Notamacropus eugenii: one gene and its partner. The protein of the gene in region 1 interacts with the protein of each later gene in a biochemical or structural test. Links are inferred from orthologs where the notes say so. Each region holds a gene or a part of one and is shown on either strand. Other genes may lie near its edges.

Region 1 (7,593 bases):
TCTTTCTATGATACAAATATGGTTTTGATACCCAAACCAGGAAGAGATAAAACAGAGAAAGAAAATTATAGACCAATTTCCCTAATGAATATAGATGCAAAAATTTTAAATAAGATTGTAGCAAAATGAATACAGCATCTTATCACGAGATTAATACATTATGATCAGGTAGGATTCATACCAGGACTACAGGGCTGGTTCAATATTAGGAAAACTATTAGCATTATCGATCACATCAACAACAAAGCTAACAAAAACCACATGATTATCTCAATAGATGCAGGAAAAGCTTTTGACAAAATACAACATCCATTCCTACTAAAAACATTGGAGAATGTAGGAATAAAGGGAACTTTCCATAAAATAATAAGCAGTATCTATCTAAAACCTTCAGCAAGCATTATATGCAATGGGGATAAGCTAGATGCATTCCCAATAAGATCAGGGGTGAAACAAGGTTGTCCATTATCACCACTATTATTTAATATGGTACTAGAAATGCTAGCTGTAGCAATTAGACAAGATAAAGATATCCAAGGAATTAAAATAGCCAAAGAAGAAACTAAGTTATCACTCTTTGCAGATGATATGATGATTTACCTAGAGAATCCCAGAGATTCAAGTAAAAAATTACTTGAATTAATAAACAACTTTGGCAAAGTTGCAGGGTACAAAATAAACCCACACAAATCTTCTGCATTCCTATATATTAGCAACAAAGTCCAACAGCAAGAGATAGAAAGAGAAATCCCATTTAAAGTTAGGGTAGACAGTATAAAATACTTAGGAGTCTACCTGCCAAAACAAACCCAGGGATTATATGAACACAATTACAAGACACTTTTTGCACAAATAAAGTCAGATTTAAGTAAGTGGAAAAACATTAGTTGCTCATGGGTAGGCTGTGCTAATATAATAAAAATGACAATTCTACCCAAATTAATATACTTATTTAGTGCCATACCAATTAAACTATCATACAATTACTTTCTAGAGCTGGACAAAATAATATCAAAATTCATTTGGAAAAACAAAAGGTCCAGAATATCAAAGGGACTAATGAAAAGAAATGCTTGGGAAGGTGGCCTAGCGCTACCAGACCTCAAACTGTACTATAAAGCAGCAATTATCAAAACCACTTGGTATTGGCTAAGAAACAGAGAGGTAAACAAGTGGAATAGACTTGGCACTCAAGATGCAGCAGGCAAGGAATATAGCAACCTTCTGTTTGATAAACCCAAGGACCCCAGCTTCTGGAATAAGAACTCATTGTTTGACAAAAATTGCTGGGAAAACTGGATAACAGTGTGGCGGAAATTAGGCATAGACCCATACCTGACACCGTACACAAGAATAAAGTCCAAATGGGTACATGATTTAGGTATAAAGATTGATACCATGAATAAACTGGAGAAGCAAGGAATAGTGTATTTATCAGATCTATGGAGAAGGGAAGAATTCTTTACTAAAGGAGAGATAGAATGCATTATGAAATGCAAAATGGATAACTTAGATTACATTAAACTGAGAAGTTTTTGCACAACCAAACCCAATGCAACCAAAATACGGAGGGATGTAGTAAATTGGGAAAGAATTTTTACAGCTAAGCTCGGGGATAAAGGCCTCATTTCTAGAATATATAGAGAACTGACCCAAATGTATAATCATACAAGTCATTCCCCAATTGATAAATGGTCAAAGGATATGAACAGGCAATTTTCAGAGGAAGAAATTAAAGATATCTATAATCATATGAAAAAATGCTCTAAATCACTATTGGTTAGAGAGATGCAAATCAAAACAACTCTGAGGTACCACATCACACCTATAAGATTGGCAAACATGACAGAACAAGAAAATGATAAATGCTGGAGAGGATGTGGGAGAGTTGGAACACTAATTCATTGTTGGTGGAGCTGTGAGCGCATCCAACCATTCTGGAGAGCAATTTGGAACTATGCCCAAAGGGCTACAAAAATGTGCATACCCTTTGACCCAGCAATATCGCTACTAGGACGATATCCTCAAGAGATCATAAAAATGGGAAAGGGTCCCACATATACAAAAATATTTATAGCAGCACTCTATGTAGTTGCCAAAAACTGGAAGTCAAGGGGATGTCCATCAATTGGGGAATGGCTGAATAAATTATGGTATATGAATGTAATTGAGTACTATTGTGCCATAAGAAATGATGAACAAGAAGACTTCAGAGAGGCCTGGAAGGACTTATATGACCTGATGCTGAGTGAAAGGAGCAGAACCAGGAGAACTTTATGCACAGCAACAACCACAGTGTGTGAGAGTTTTTTCTGGTAGACTTAGATTTTTGTAATAACACAAGAACTTCTTACCAAAAAAAAAAAAAAAAATCCCAATGGAGGATCTCAAGGTAAAATGCCTGCCACACTCAGAGAGAGAAATATGGAAGTCACTCACATATTGTAGCAGATCATGTTTGTGTATGTGTATGTGTTTGTGTATCATGTTCTGATTTGTTATACGATTTCTTTCATTTATCTTAGTCTGACTACATAGCATGACTATAGTGAAAATATACTCAATAGGAAAGTATATGTAGAATCTATACAGAATTGTATGCAGTCGTGGGGAGGGAGTGGGGTAGTGGGGAGTAGGTGGGGAGGGATAAAATCGCAATTGTATGGCAGTGATTGTTAAACATTACAAAATAAAAAAAAATAAATTAAAAAAAAAATAAATAAAACCTGGGAAGAATTGTGTGAACACAGCAGAACAAAATGAGGAGAGTAATTTATGCAACAATGTTGGACAGAATACAACAACTTTGAAAGACATAAGAACTATGCTCAATGTAATGACCATTCATGATTTCAGAATACCAGTGATAAAGCCTGTGACTCATCACTTGACAGAAGTGTGATGATTTCAAGGTGCTGAATGAGATACATATTTTTGGACACAGCAAATGTGTGGATTTGTTTCTTTTAACTATTCAAATTCAGAATTGCTTTTATTTATACATTCTTGTTGGAGAAATATTTGGGGACAAAAGAATGTAAAATAAATTGATTTATTTTAAATGAAAACAAAATCCAGCTTCTATAAATTTAGACTATCATTCTCAATAATCTCAATCCTAAAACTTGACCTTATAACATATTTTTCAGTTGTCTTTCTAAGATCAATATAATGTGTCACTATCACCAGAGATATGTAACTTAACATTTTTGAGAAAGAGTTTTTTAAAACACCACTAAAGCTGGTATCTGAAATTCTGCCCTTAAAGATCTACTCATCTTTATCATTAGACACTGTTATTCCTAGGTAGACCCTGCCCAAAGACAGACACCACTGGGAAAGGTAACACATTAGCCTTTAGGTTGAATTAGATCACCAAATTATCTGGACAAGTCACTGAGAAAATAAAGGGAAGGAAAATTCACTTTTCCTAGCAAGATAAGTGGGTTTGGAGGGTCAAGGAAGGCAGAAATCTTATAGAGAATATCAATGGGACCCTGACTACTTTGCTGGGATGCAACTGAGATTTAGAAAGGGAGGAGAAGGTGGCAAAGGGATTGTGACAAACAAACATTTTTTTTCACATTCATTAGAGTTTGTCCTTAACTTCATCATGCCCATCCCATGGTACTTCTATGCCTGAAAAACCACCAGTTTATGGTGAGGGAAATAGCAACAGAAACAACGCAATACAATGTAGTTTGTTAGAACTTGCCTGGTCTGGACGTATAACCCTGGTCTTCGAATGTCCCATGAAGTGTGTGAAGAAAATCACCTGGCTTCTCAGGAAATGGCAGAATCCTTTTCAAGCCTGGCATTCTTCATCCTGCTAATAAGTAATTGTCACTTAAATCAATTGCTTTGCTAATGAAAATGGCCAGCCCTGAAATGAACTCTGACAAGACACAGAATCCAGTTATCCTGCTAACTGATGACTTGTCAGTTGAAATTACAGTGCAGACATTTTTAACAGTGGATGGGGTATGTGATTTGAATTTAAATATTTCACATTTCTACATGGCAGCCAACATTTCTGGGAAGACTAGGCTGACATTTCAGAGTAGGATGAGTTTGAATGACTTGGGTATAGGATTAGCCTAAAGACCTTGAGTTTCAAAATTGTTCACTTTCACACTTATCTTTCGGAAATCTAGGTTTGGGTTCCAGCTCATGTTCAAACTATTGGACTTGAATGAAGTTAGTCACAGGCACATTAAAATCTCACTGTGATTAAGATTCACTCAGCCACAAATACACACCCCTACTTTCTCAAATCAGTGTTACAAAATAGAAATGAAGCAATGCAACAAACAATAACTATAACAACTTTGAGATTTTAGAAAAGTTCTTTGCAAATCCGAATGGTGAAGACTAGCACACACACACACACACACGTGTCAGTACTAATAGAAATTCATGTTTCAAGAGCCTAGTTGTGGCTTTGAATATAGGGTTGTTTATTAGTTAAGAAATATAAATGAGAAGCAGTTTAAAACATTTTAACATCTCTCTCTCTCTCTCTCTCTCTCTCTCTCTCTCTCTCTCTCTCTCTCTCTCTCTCTCTCTCTCTCTCTCACACAGAAATTCAAACTCAATGACTGAGCTCAAGAGATATGCCAGCCTCAAGCTCTCCTTTTGAAAGATAGAGAGGTAAGAGAGAATAGAGATGGGAGGGGGGAAGAGGGAGGGAGAGAGAGAGAGAGAGAGAGAGAGAGAGAGAGAGAAGAGAGAGAGAGAGAGAGAGAGAGAGAGAGAGAGAGAAGCAATGAAATAGGTGAATAGACAGATTGATAGAATGATGAATAGATAGAAAGGCAGAGAGATAGAAATGTATGGATAGATAATAGATTGATAAATAGATAGAGGTAGATATAAAGACAGATGAATAGATAGAGAAGTAGATGATAGAGACAGGCACAGATAGAAATAGAGACATAGACAAATATAGATAGAGAGATGAAGAAATAAGTAAACAAATAGATGAATAAGTAAATAATTTCAGGTCTTTAGTTTTTCTTGACCCTGAAACCAGGAAGACCTGGGATCAATCTTCATCTTTAACACACATTGCTTTTATGATTCTGGACAAGACACGTAATCTCTTGGTGTTCCAGGGAACTATCTAAGAAAAGAAATTGAAGAGGGGACATGGATCTGCACATGCCTCTTACTGCAATCCTCTAAATTATACAATATATGACTCTCCAGAATTAGCTTTGTCCATAGCGTAGATGGCAAATATCCAGCCACAAATGACTTGCTTAATTTCAGGAGCATCAATAAGTTCGCCTCTGGTCTTCAAATGTCTACAGCCTTTGTAAAGTGCTTTGCAAACCTTAACATATTAGCTCTGTCTGACTCCTTCCTGGAAACCTTTCCCTCCTCCTCTTGGACTTCTCACCTCCATAGCTTCCTTTAAGGCTCGACTAAAATCCCACCTTCCTCAATGCCTCTTTATTCCAGTGTTTTCTCTCAGTTAATTACCTACTACTTATTCTACATAGAATTTGCTTTGCTTATATTTGTTTGCATGTTAGATTTTTAAGCTCCTTGAAGGTAGGCAACTTGTTGGTGAGTTGTTGTTTTTTTTTTAGGGGGGGGTGTCTATCTTTATATCCACAACACTTAGTACAGTGCCTAATGCAATTATTATAATTATCATTTTATAGTGCTATTTTATTTATAGAAATACTTTCCAGCACACCAATTATTTCATGCTCTCCTAGTATTGGGCATTCCTTCCGCAATTCTTATTTAAAAGTGACCATCCTGTTATCACTGTCCATATCTCCTTGTAGATCCACTATAGGGGGTCCACCCAAAGTGCTTGGGGGCCTTACTCATATTCTCTGCAAGTCACATAAACATCAAATGAATACCAAATGTTTCTTCTTGCTAAGTGACAAAACCTTCTGCTTGTTCCACCCCACCCCTCCCCTCCCAGTTGGAATCAAACTGCAAAATGTTAGGATTCTTGTTCCATTATCTTTGGTTTGTATGGCCTTGGTTGAACTACTTAGCCTCCAAGGTCTTCAGTTTCCTCCTTTTTATGATGGTGTTGGTTTAGTGTAGGTTTCTAAGTTCTTTCACAGATCTATCATATTCTGTCATTAATTTTATTTTCTTTCTTGAAAACAGTTTTTGTTAGTGAGAAAGCTTGAAGTTACACATTACCAAAGAAGTGAATGTGGGAATGCAGGGATGGGACTAGAAAACTCTGAAGTTGAGGTGCTAAAACTTTCACTCAGTTTTCAGTTCTGTCTCAGGCCAATGAAAGCCCATCCCTTTCTAGGCCCTAATAGATGGTGAATATGTTGGTCACAGGAAATACAGTTACATACCTAACAACACCAAGTCAAATATACAAAAGGGTATAGAAAACAATTTGAAAAGGAGGAGGGGAGGGGGAGCTGTGTTACTTTCTTCTGGGTGACAGTGTGGGATTTAGCCAGAAACTTGAAAAGAGAGAATAGAAATACAAAAGTTTAGAACCCCATCCCTCCCCACCTGAGTTTATTTCTACTATGTTCTAGCAGAAGATTACAGCACCTCCCCTCTGTCTTTCTCTGTCTCCCTGTCTCTGTCTTCATCTCTGTCTCTGTTTCTTTCATGATGGTGGTGGAGAATGTCATAAAATAAAAGAGGGGTGCATCTGCTCATGTTTCAAAGAAATTTTCTTCAGGTTTGCACCTGGTCACAGCCTAGGGGCAGGCAGAAAGAAGCAAGTCAAAACACAGAGACACGAACTTTTCAAACTTTGAAGAGAAATCTCAAAGCATTTGGAACCAGGGAGTTGTTATTAATGTTCTCAGTGCTTTTCAGGGGCTAAGTAAACATCTTCTTGGAGATTTGGATTCTTTTCTCCCTTTTCTGATGTTTGGAAAGCTCCTGGATATCCATAGCTAACAAAATTCTGGATTCATTTAAGAAAATAATAACTACATTCTCTTCAAACCCACCTCCCCAACCACAGAGTGACATATGATCAACTTCTAGATTAGGTATGTTCTCTCACAATCTTGGTGTTCACAGTTAGATCACTTTTTTTTTGGAACAACGATGACGTTATATCTATTGTGCTTTTTACATTTGGGAGGCAAGGGTTAGGGGGAAGAAGGGGGATGCACTTTTAAGGCTGCGTTAGTTTATACAAAACATTTCTGGTCATAAATGTCAGAATCATTTGAGTAATGAAAATAATAAGTGACAGGCTTTTCATATAAAATTCTGGCTTCCTTCCAGGATCCTTTAGGTAACCATTCTAAGTATATAAAAATGCTCCCATAGCATTTAAGATGTAGTACTTGAGTTTCTGTTTAAAAAAATAAACAAAAAAAAATTGCAGAGTGAAGCAAGAGAAGATTGAGTAATTTTTTCTTAACTAAAGATTTCTCACATATTTGATGCAGAACACATTTAGAATAAGTACAAGATAAATACTGGATTATTTGCTAGGCTTCCAGGTATTGTGAATAAGGGAGGAAAAATCCTCCTTTCAGGCTGATAAATGTTACTTATAAACCAGGATAGAAAGAAAAGTTGAGGGGGGAAACAAAGCCAAGCCTTCAGTTAAAAATCTCTCTCTCTCTTTTA
Region 2 (6,919 bases), on another chromosome or scaffold:
GAGGTGAGGCAGGGGGTAGGCAGGCACACAGGGAAGGTGAAGGGATAGGTCTAGGGTCCCAGGAGACACCACCTAGAGAGAGCTCGAGTTCCTAACCTGAGGCAACCAAGTTCCTGACTGGGTAAAAAAAGACTGTCATGGGGGTACAGGGAATATCTGTAACTGTTCTATTGAATTGAATTAATCCCTATTTTATTTATATGTGTGCATGCATGATAATCTCTGAACCTGATTTCCTTTCATAGATGGGAATATTCACTGAAAGGGGAGGGCTCAGGAAGCCCCCCTCTTCTTTCTCCCCAGAGTGTCCACCTCCCTCTGCCTTTCCCAACCTCACCTTTGCTACTCAACCACTGGTATACCACACTGGTAACATCAAAGGACAGCCACTCCACGGTCTGGCTGGGCCGGACCCGCTGGCTGGTCAGGTAGCGCCAGGAACCATTGCCAAATTTCTTCGGGGAGGATGAAGGGCAGTGAGGGAACAGCCCTGGAGGTGGCCTCCCCCACAGACCCTGCCAGCCCCCACAAGCCCCATCAGCCTGGGCTCACCTGATAGAGTTCCACATGCTGTTCTTCTGTTGACTTGATCTTCAGCATCCGGAGCTCTGCTCGAGACAGCAGAGCTGGATCAGGTACAGCTTCCTGGAGCTCCGAGGTGTTGAAATGGAAGTAAACACTGTGAGGGATCTTATCAGCATCTGGGGGGGCAGACAGGGAGAGAGCAATCAGAAGAAGCCATGCCACAGTCTTAGCCAAAGGCATCTCTGGCCCTGGCCTGCCTGCCTCATCAGAGAAGTGGAAGGGAAGCCTAAGGAAAGATGGTGGAGCCAAGGGGCCCATACACACCCGGAGCTTGAAAAGATGTCCTTCCCTCCCTTTCTGCTTCCTGATATGATGCCCTCTCCAGCCCCCCACCCCCACCCCCAGGTCCTCCAAACAACTCTGTGGCTGAGCCAATTCAGAAACCACAGAGCCAGTCTCTGGGTGGCCTGAGCCCCAGGGAGACCAAGGGACCAGAATGTAGAAGGAGAGAGTCAGGGAGAAGCCCAATAGGAACATAGATTTAGAGGTAGATGATGGGACATTAGGGGCTCTTGAGTTCTACATTCATTTCACAATCGAGGAAAGTGAGGAGGTCTAGAGAATTAAGTGACTTGCCCAATGTAACCGGGGTAGGTAGAAAGTGGAAAAACCTAGGCCTTCTCTGACTCCAGATGCAGGGTTACTCTGCTTGGGGAGGGGGTGAAGGGGAGAGAAGGAACAAGATAGAAAGGGGGAGGGAAAATACAGAGGAACAAGGACGCAGGAGAAGAGAGAAAAGGCCAGACAGTTTAGGAGCTGGAGAGGACTATTCGGCCTTGCCACCGGTAATGAGTGGAAGAAATGGGATTTGAACTCAGGTCTTCCCACTCCAAACTCAGGACTTTTTCTGAAGAGGCAGCAGGAGAACAGAGCTGGAGGGGCCACGATTCAGAGAAGGGGACTCGGAGCAGGGAGAAAAAGTCAAGCAGAGACCCTCGCTGCCCTTCAGCAAAAGTCCCCAGGCCCGAGAGAAAGCGGGAAGCCTTGCCCAGGGCCAGGGGTCGAGGTCGGCCGGGAGCCCCGGGTCCGGTCCCCGGTGGGGGCCAGCACCGGAGAGGGCGGGGCCCAAAGCGGGCGAGCCGGGCTGCGACCTGTCTCTGCTCGCCCTCCTACCCCGAGGCTCCAGCTGCCGATTCCCTGCCCCGGGGCCACTGGCGAGAGGGAGGGAGGGCCAGGGGCTGGACTCCGGGGTTTCCCGGCCGGCAGAGGGACGCCCCGCCCACGGCGTGTGGCCGCCCTCGTGGGTCTGGCCGGGGCTCCCCCGTTTGCCCGACTGTTCGCCTCTTGCTACCCGAGTGTCCCTCCTCTCCTGCGAGCAGCCCTCCCCCGGGCCCACCGGTGCCCGCTTGCCCCCGAGGGCTCACCCGGATTCTGGGGCAGCATGAGGACCCGGGTGACCTCCTTGGCGTAGTAGTCGGTCTCGGCCTCGGGCCCCGGCTCGGCCACGCGGTCCCGGGTGCTGTTGTAGAGGGCGAGCACGGCGTCGGGCAGCGGGCCCGGGGGCACGTCGCCCTGGGGCGGCGGGCTGTCCAGCCGCAACTTGGACAGGATCTGCCCGCGGATGGCCTCGATGCGCCGCCGCTTCACCAGCTCCATGTCCAAGGTCTTGCAGGTGGACATGGCCACCGCCGGGCGCGGCGGGACCAGCAGGAGAGCCAGCAGCGGCACCAGGGCAGCCGCCGCCGCCGCCCGCAGCCCCGAGGGCGGCATGGAGGAAGAGGCACACGCTGCGGCGACGCTGGCCTCTGGGCCGGCGGCGGGGAAAAGGAAATCGCCCGGGAGGGCTCGGGATCCGCGAGGGGAAAGCCTGGGGCCCTTCGGGGAGGTCTGCCGGGAGGGGAGGGGGCCTGAGACTGACGGGGAGATGTGACCCCTGCAGCGTGCGGGGGGGAACTTGCAAGGACAGCACGCCGGGGGGCGGAAAAGTCCGGAGTCTCGGGGGGCTCTCCTTGACTCGGGGAGGGGGGCGGGCTGCCGGGTGCGAGGGGCGGCTAGGTCCGGAGGGTCCAGGGCGCGGTGGCCCTGGCTCCCGGGGGCAGGCAGGGCGCGCTCCGGCTCGGCCGGTGAGAAAGTCTCAACTTCTGGGCAACAAGTCCCGTCCCTCCTCCTCCTCCTTCTCCTCCCCCCTCCCCCCTCCTCCCGGCGGCGGCGGCGGCGGCGGCTCCTGCGGCTGCTCTGGAGACAGCGGCTCCTGGGCCCCCGGCTCCTCCTCGTCCTTCCTCCTTCCTCCCGCTGGGGCCGGCGACCCGGGCCCCGCTAGAGCCGGGGGGGTCCCGGCCGGCCCCAGGGGCCCCGCATGGGCCGGGGCGGGGCTGGGTTGCGAGGCAGTGGCGGCGGTTCAGGCCGAGACGGGACGGGGGGCGCCCCCTGGGATCGCAGCTTCGGCTCGGGGGCGGCGGAGGGCAGGGGCAGGGGGCGGGCGGCAGCTCCGGCGGGGCAGCCGGGTTCGGGCTTCGGAGCTTTTTGAAGCGGCTGCGGCCCCACCCAGGAAGCGCGCGCGGGGGCCGGGGAGGAAAGGCGGGGGGAAGGAGGGGAAGGAGGGAGGGAAGCGCGGCTTCCCCCCCCCCCCAGCCGCCCGGAGGCCGGGGGATGGCGCCCCGCCTCCGGGACCCCGGCGTCCTCACTCCCCCCACGCCAGCAATGGGGGACGGGATGGGAATAGCGGGCTGGGCTAGGGGCTCACCCCCACCCCGTCGCCCGGGCGTCCGCCCAGGCCCTGGCCGCAAAGGGGAGAGGCCGCCAAGCGCCGGGAGAACGCACCCGGGACTCTCCCAGCCCTGGTCTTCCCTGGGTCGGAGTGAGGAAGTCCCCCAATGAGCGGCGGGTGCTGCTCCTTACTGGTCCCGGCCCCATCCAGACCCTGGGACGGGTTCAGCCTCCGATCCGCGGCCACTTATAGGAAGGGGTCAGGAGGAGGAGATGGGGGAGGGGTGGGAGGACCAGACTGAGAGACAGGACAGATAAGGGATTGGGGGTCCTGGGGTGTCATCCCCTGCGGCCACTGGACGGAGTATCCTCGGAGGGCAGGGAGCAAGTCCCATTTCAGCACGAGGTCCCAGCCTAAGGGTCAGAGCTTCACTGAGGACGGCACTGCAGAAAAACTGGAGAAAACACCGCGGCAGGAGGGGGGGACAGAAAATGGAGGAGAAAATAGCCGGGATTATTGGGGTGCTGGGGGCGCTGAAAAGACAGCCTGGCCTCTGGGGGGAATGACCCAAGGAGGGGAGGAAAGGGGAAAGAGCAGAAGGGGAGGGTCACAAGGGGAACATCATCCACCCGGCCCAGAAGGAGTCCAGGAAGTGGGTCTAAGAAGGCCCTGCAATGGCTGGACCCCGGGCTCCAGGTCCCTGGAAGTAGGCGCTTTTCACTTTAGGGACCTAGGTGTCCCCATTTTCCAAAGAGTGGAATGAACTAGATGGCATCCAGGGTCTCTAAGACTCCCTTGAACTCGGACATTTTGGGGCTCAGTCACTCAACCAGGGCATCCCTGGGCTCAGTTTCCCCCTCTGGTGAAACAAGGGGTTGGACTCAGGTCTGACAGTAAGGAAGGGATAGAAATGAGATGTTTGTACTCTGTCGGAATCTTGTATAGACCAATTCATATATTTCTTTACATGAAATCGCCCCCATTGACATGGATGCCCCAGGACAGAGCCATGTTGCTCCTTCTTGGTACCCCAAGGCTTTCTTAGGGCAGTACCTGGCACATAATAAAAGTTCAGTAAGAGTTGGTTGATTGATTGCTGAGGCCAGGAGCCCGGGGACAGACAGAAAAGAGGAGGGGAGGGAAGGAAGTGAGATGGAGAATTGGGGGATGGAGGGATAAGGGCTTGGGAGCTGGCCGAGGTGCTCAGCACTCAACCCCATATCGGGAAAAGTTTCTCAGGATCAGGGCCAGCTCCAGGTGCACGGTGCCCCCTGCTGCTGTGTGGAGCCGGTATCGGTCGGCCCCGCTGTAGACTACATCACTGTGTAGCAGCTGGGGCCCACCACCCACGAAGGCCCGAGCCAACTGCTCCCGCCAGCCACCCAAGGGGCGCCATGTCACACAGTCAAGGCTATGGATGCCGGGGCTGCTGGGAATGTGGGAAAAGCCATAGCCGGACAACTGGCAGCGGCCAAAGACGTCCTGAGACCACACTTGCAAGTGGAGCCGAGGCCAGCCTGGGGAGAGGAGAGGGTCTACCTCAGTCTTCTGCTGGCCAAGTCTGCCCTTCTTCCCAAGGCTTGGGTTTCTGTCTTCCTTCCCTGATTTTGTTCAGGCTCCTGTAGCCACTCCCAGTCCCCCAAAGGCATTCTGCCATCTTAAGCTGCTCCCGCCAACCACTGATGCCCATATTCTGACCAGGAGCACCCACAAATGACAGATCTGTCAGGTCTAATAAACAACACAGACCATCTCTGAGTCTCTTTTGTCTTTCTCTTCAACCTTCCCAGTCTCTGGGGGTCCAGGTGGGATTCCCCAACCCCAGGGTCCAGCCTGAAGGACTACTAGGTGCCCTGAACTGGACAGAGCCTCATCTCCCTGTCCAATTGGAGCAGTCCCTTCCCAGCTCACTTACTCAGAGCCTGGGACCCCTGCCCTTACCCTGTAGGCCTTTGGTGGCAAAATGCAGGTCAATTGGGTGAGACCAGTAGGCCATGCTACCCAGCTGAGGGGTGTCCACTTGTGTCTGGCCTTCCCGAACACCGGACAGCAGTTTCCATGCTCCTCCTGCCAGTCAGGAAAGGAAAGGGTCACTGAGGGGAGGGAGGGAGGGACTAGAAGAAGGGATTCTGTTGGGTTAGAGGGAGGGGCCGCTATGGCACTGGAAAGAGCCCTGGGCTCAAGTCCTGGTCCCATCAGTGACCTAATTAGACTTTGGCTTCTTCTACTGTAAAAAGAGCTTCCTGGCTGAAATCTCTAGGTCCCTTTCTGCCTCTATAATTCCAAATCTAGTCTAGCCAAAAAGAAGGGCAGTAAGTTCCATGTAGGACGAAAACCTTCCTCATATCCCCACACTCCCACCCCCCACTAAAGACTCTCACAGTCCCCAAGGAAAGAAGGAAAGGAGGGGGGTCTAGGCCTCTTTGGAGTTGAAGGATCTCCCACCCACCCATTAAGTGGGCAAAGACTCTGCTGTGGAGATACAATTTGGGGTACAGGTCCTGAAGAATCAGGAGGAAGACCTCAGGACTTTCCCCTTCTGTTCCACACTCTCTCCAGCTGAGTGCACAAGGAAGGTCAAGGGTCAAGTTCCCCGGGGGTGGGGGGAAGGTATAGAGGACTCCCCAGAGATGTGAACAGATGAGGCCATGCTATCCCCACATACTTACCAGTATGGACACCCCACTTGCAGAAGAGGCTGTTCTCAGAAAAACCTGTTGCCCCAATGATCTGCCCAATGACATGGACCTCAGCCATGGCCCAGTGGAGAGGAGAGATGTCAGAAGACTACAAAGAATGAAGTTCAGCAGCGACCAAACTGCTGCCTGACCTTGGACATGTCTCTGGGCCTCAGTTTCCTCATCTGTAAAATGAGCACATCATGATTTCAATTGAGTGGATAGAACAGTGCACCCAAAGTCTTGAAGATCTGGGTTCAAATCCAGCCTCAGACACTTAGTAGCTGAGTGACCCTGGACAAGTCACAACCTCTGCCTCAGTTTCCTCAACTTCAAAATGGGGATAATAATAGCACAGACTTTCCATGGTTGTTCTGAGGTTCAATTAGATAATATCTGTAAAGCAAGCGCTTTGCAAAACTTAAAACGATATATACGTACGTATACATGTAGGCATATGCGCTATTAGCTACAGACTCGGTAACTCCGCCCATCTCCATAGCTCCTCCCCTTAGGGCTTATAACTCCGCCCCCTCCTTCCAAATAGACATGCGCAGTATCCCCGGAGCGAGGCAAAACGCTCATGACTCCAGCCTCTGCGCAGGCGCTGTTTCTCTGGCAAGCACAACTGTACAGGAACACGTACTCGCGTCTCTCGGCGCCCGACCCTCGCCTCCCCTACCCCTCATTTACCCGAGAAACCTGAAGATTTCGGGACCGTCAGCAGGGTGAACGGCTTCCGGGGCCTGCTCCGGCCGTTGCTCTGGCAACAGAAGCTCGCGGTCTTCTCTGCGCACCATTCGTGCACGCCTTCGCGTCGCTGATTGGTCGTCGGAGAGGAAATGGGACCAGTAGGTATCTCTCGCCTTCCCCTCGCACGCCGCTGATTGGGCCTCAGATAGAATGGGGCGGGGCGATAATGAAAGAGCTCCCTTTCCCTTTGTGTGTGCCCGCCCAGCACACTGCTGATTGGTCCTTTCGGAAGGCGATTCCTTCCAAGATCCCTTGC

Evidence for each region. The genes of interacting proteins can lie anywhere in the genome.
Region 2: the proteins of DCN (region 1) and TGFB1 form a complex in vitro, tested with the Homo sapiens proteins (3 studies listed by BioGRID). The link is inferred for Notamacropus eugenii from reciprocal best matches to the Homo sapiens genes DCN and TGFB1.

Annotation. Positions count from the first base shown.
Region 1 is NC_092874.1:273,543,491-273,551,083, reverse strand, and holds the start of DCN (decorin), read left to right. Parts: upstream 1-4,586; 5' UTR 4,587-4,650; intron 4,651-6,596; exon of another isoform or gene 6,597-7,001; intron 7,002-7,593. UniProt on the Homo sapiens protein: May affect the rate of fibrils formation.
Region 2 is NC_092876.1:29,868,130-29,875,048, reverse strand, and holds the start of TGFB1 (transforming growth factor beta-1 proprotein), read right to left. Parts: upstream 3,023-6,919; 5' UTR 2,296-3,022; coding exon 1,950-2,295; intron 702-1,949; coding exon 553-701; intron 456-552; coding exon 338-455; intron 1-337. Other genes in the region: B9D2 (B9 domain-containing protein 2), read right to left, coding at 4,436-4,749, 5,174-5,299, 5,902-5,989. UniProt on the Homo sapiens protein: Transforming growth factor beta-1 proprotein: Precursor of the Latency-associated peptide (LAP) and Transforming growth factor beta-1 (TGF-beta-1) chains, which constitute the regulatory and active subunit of TGF-beta-1, respectively.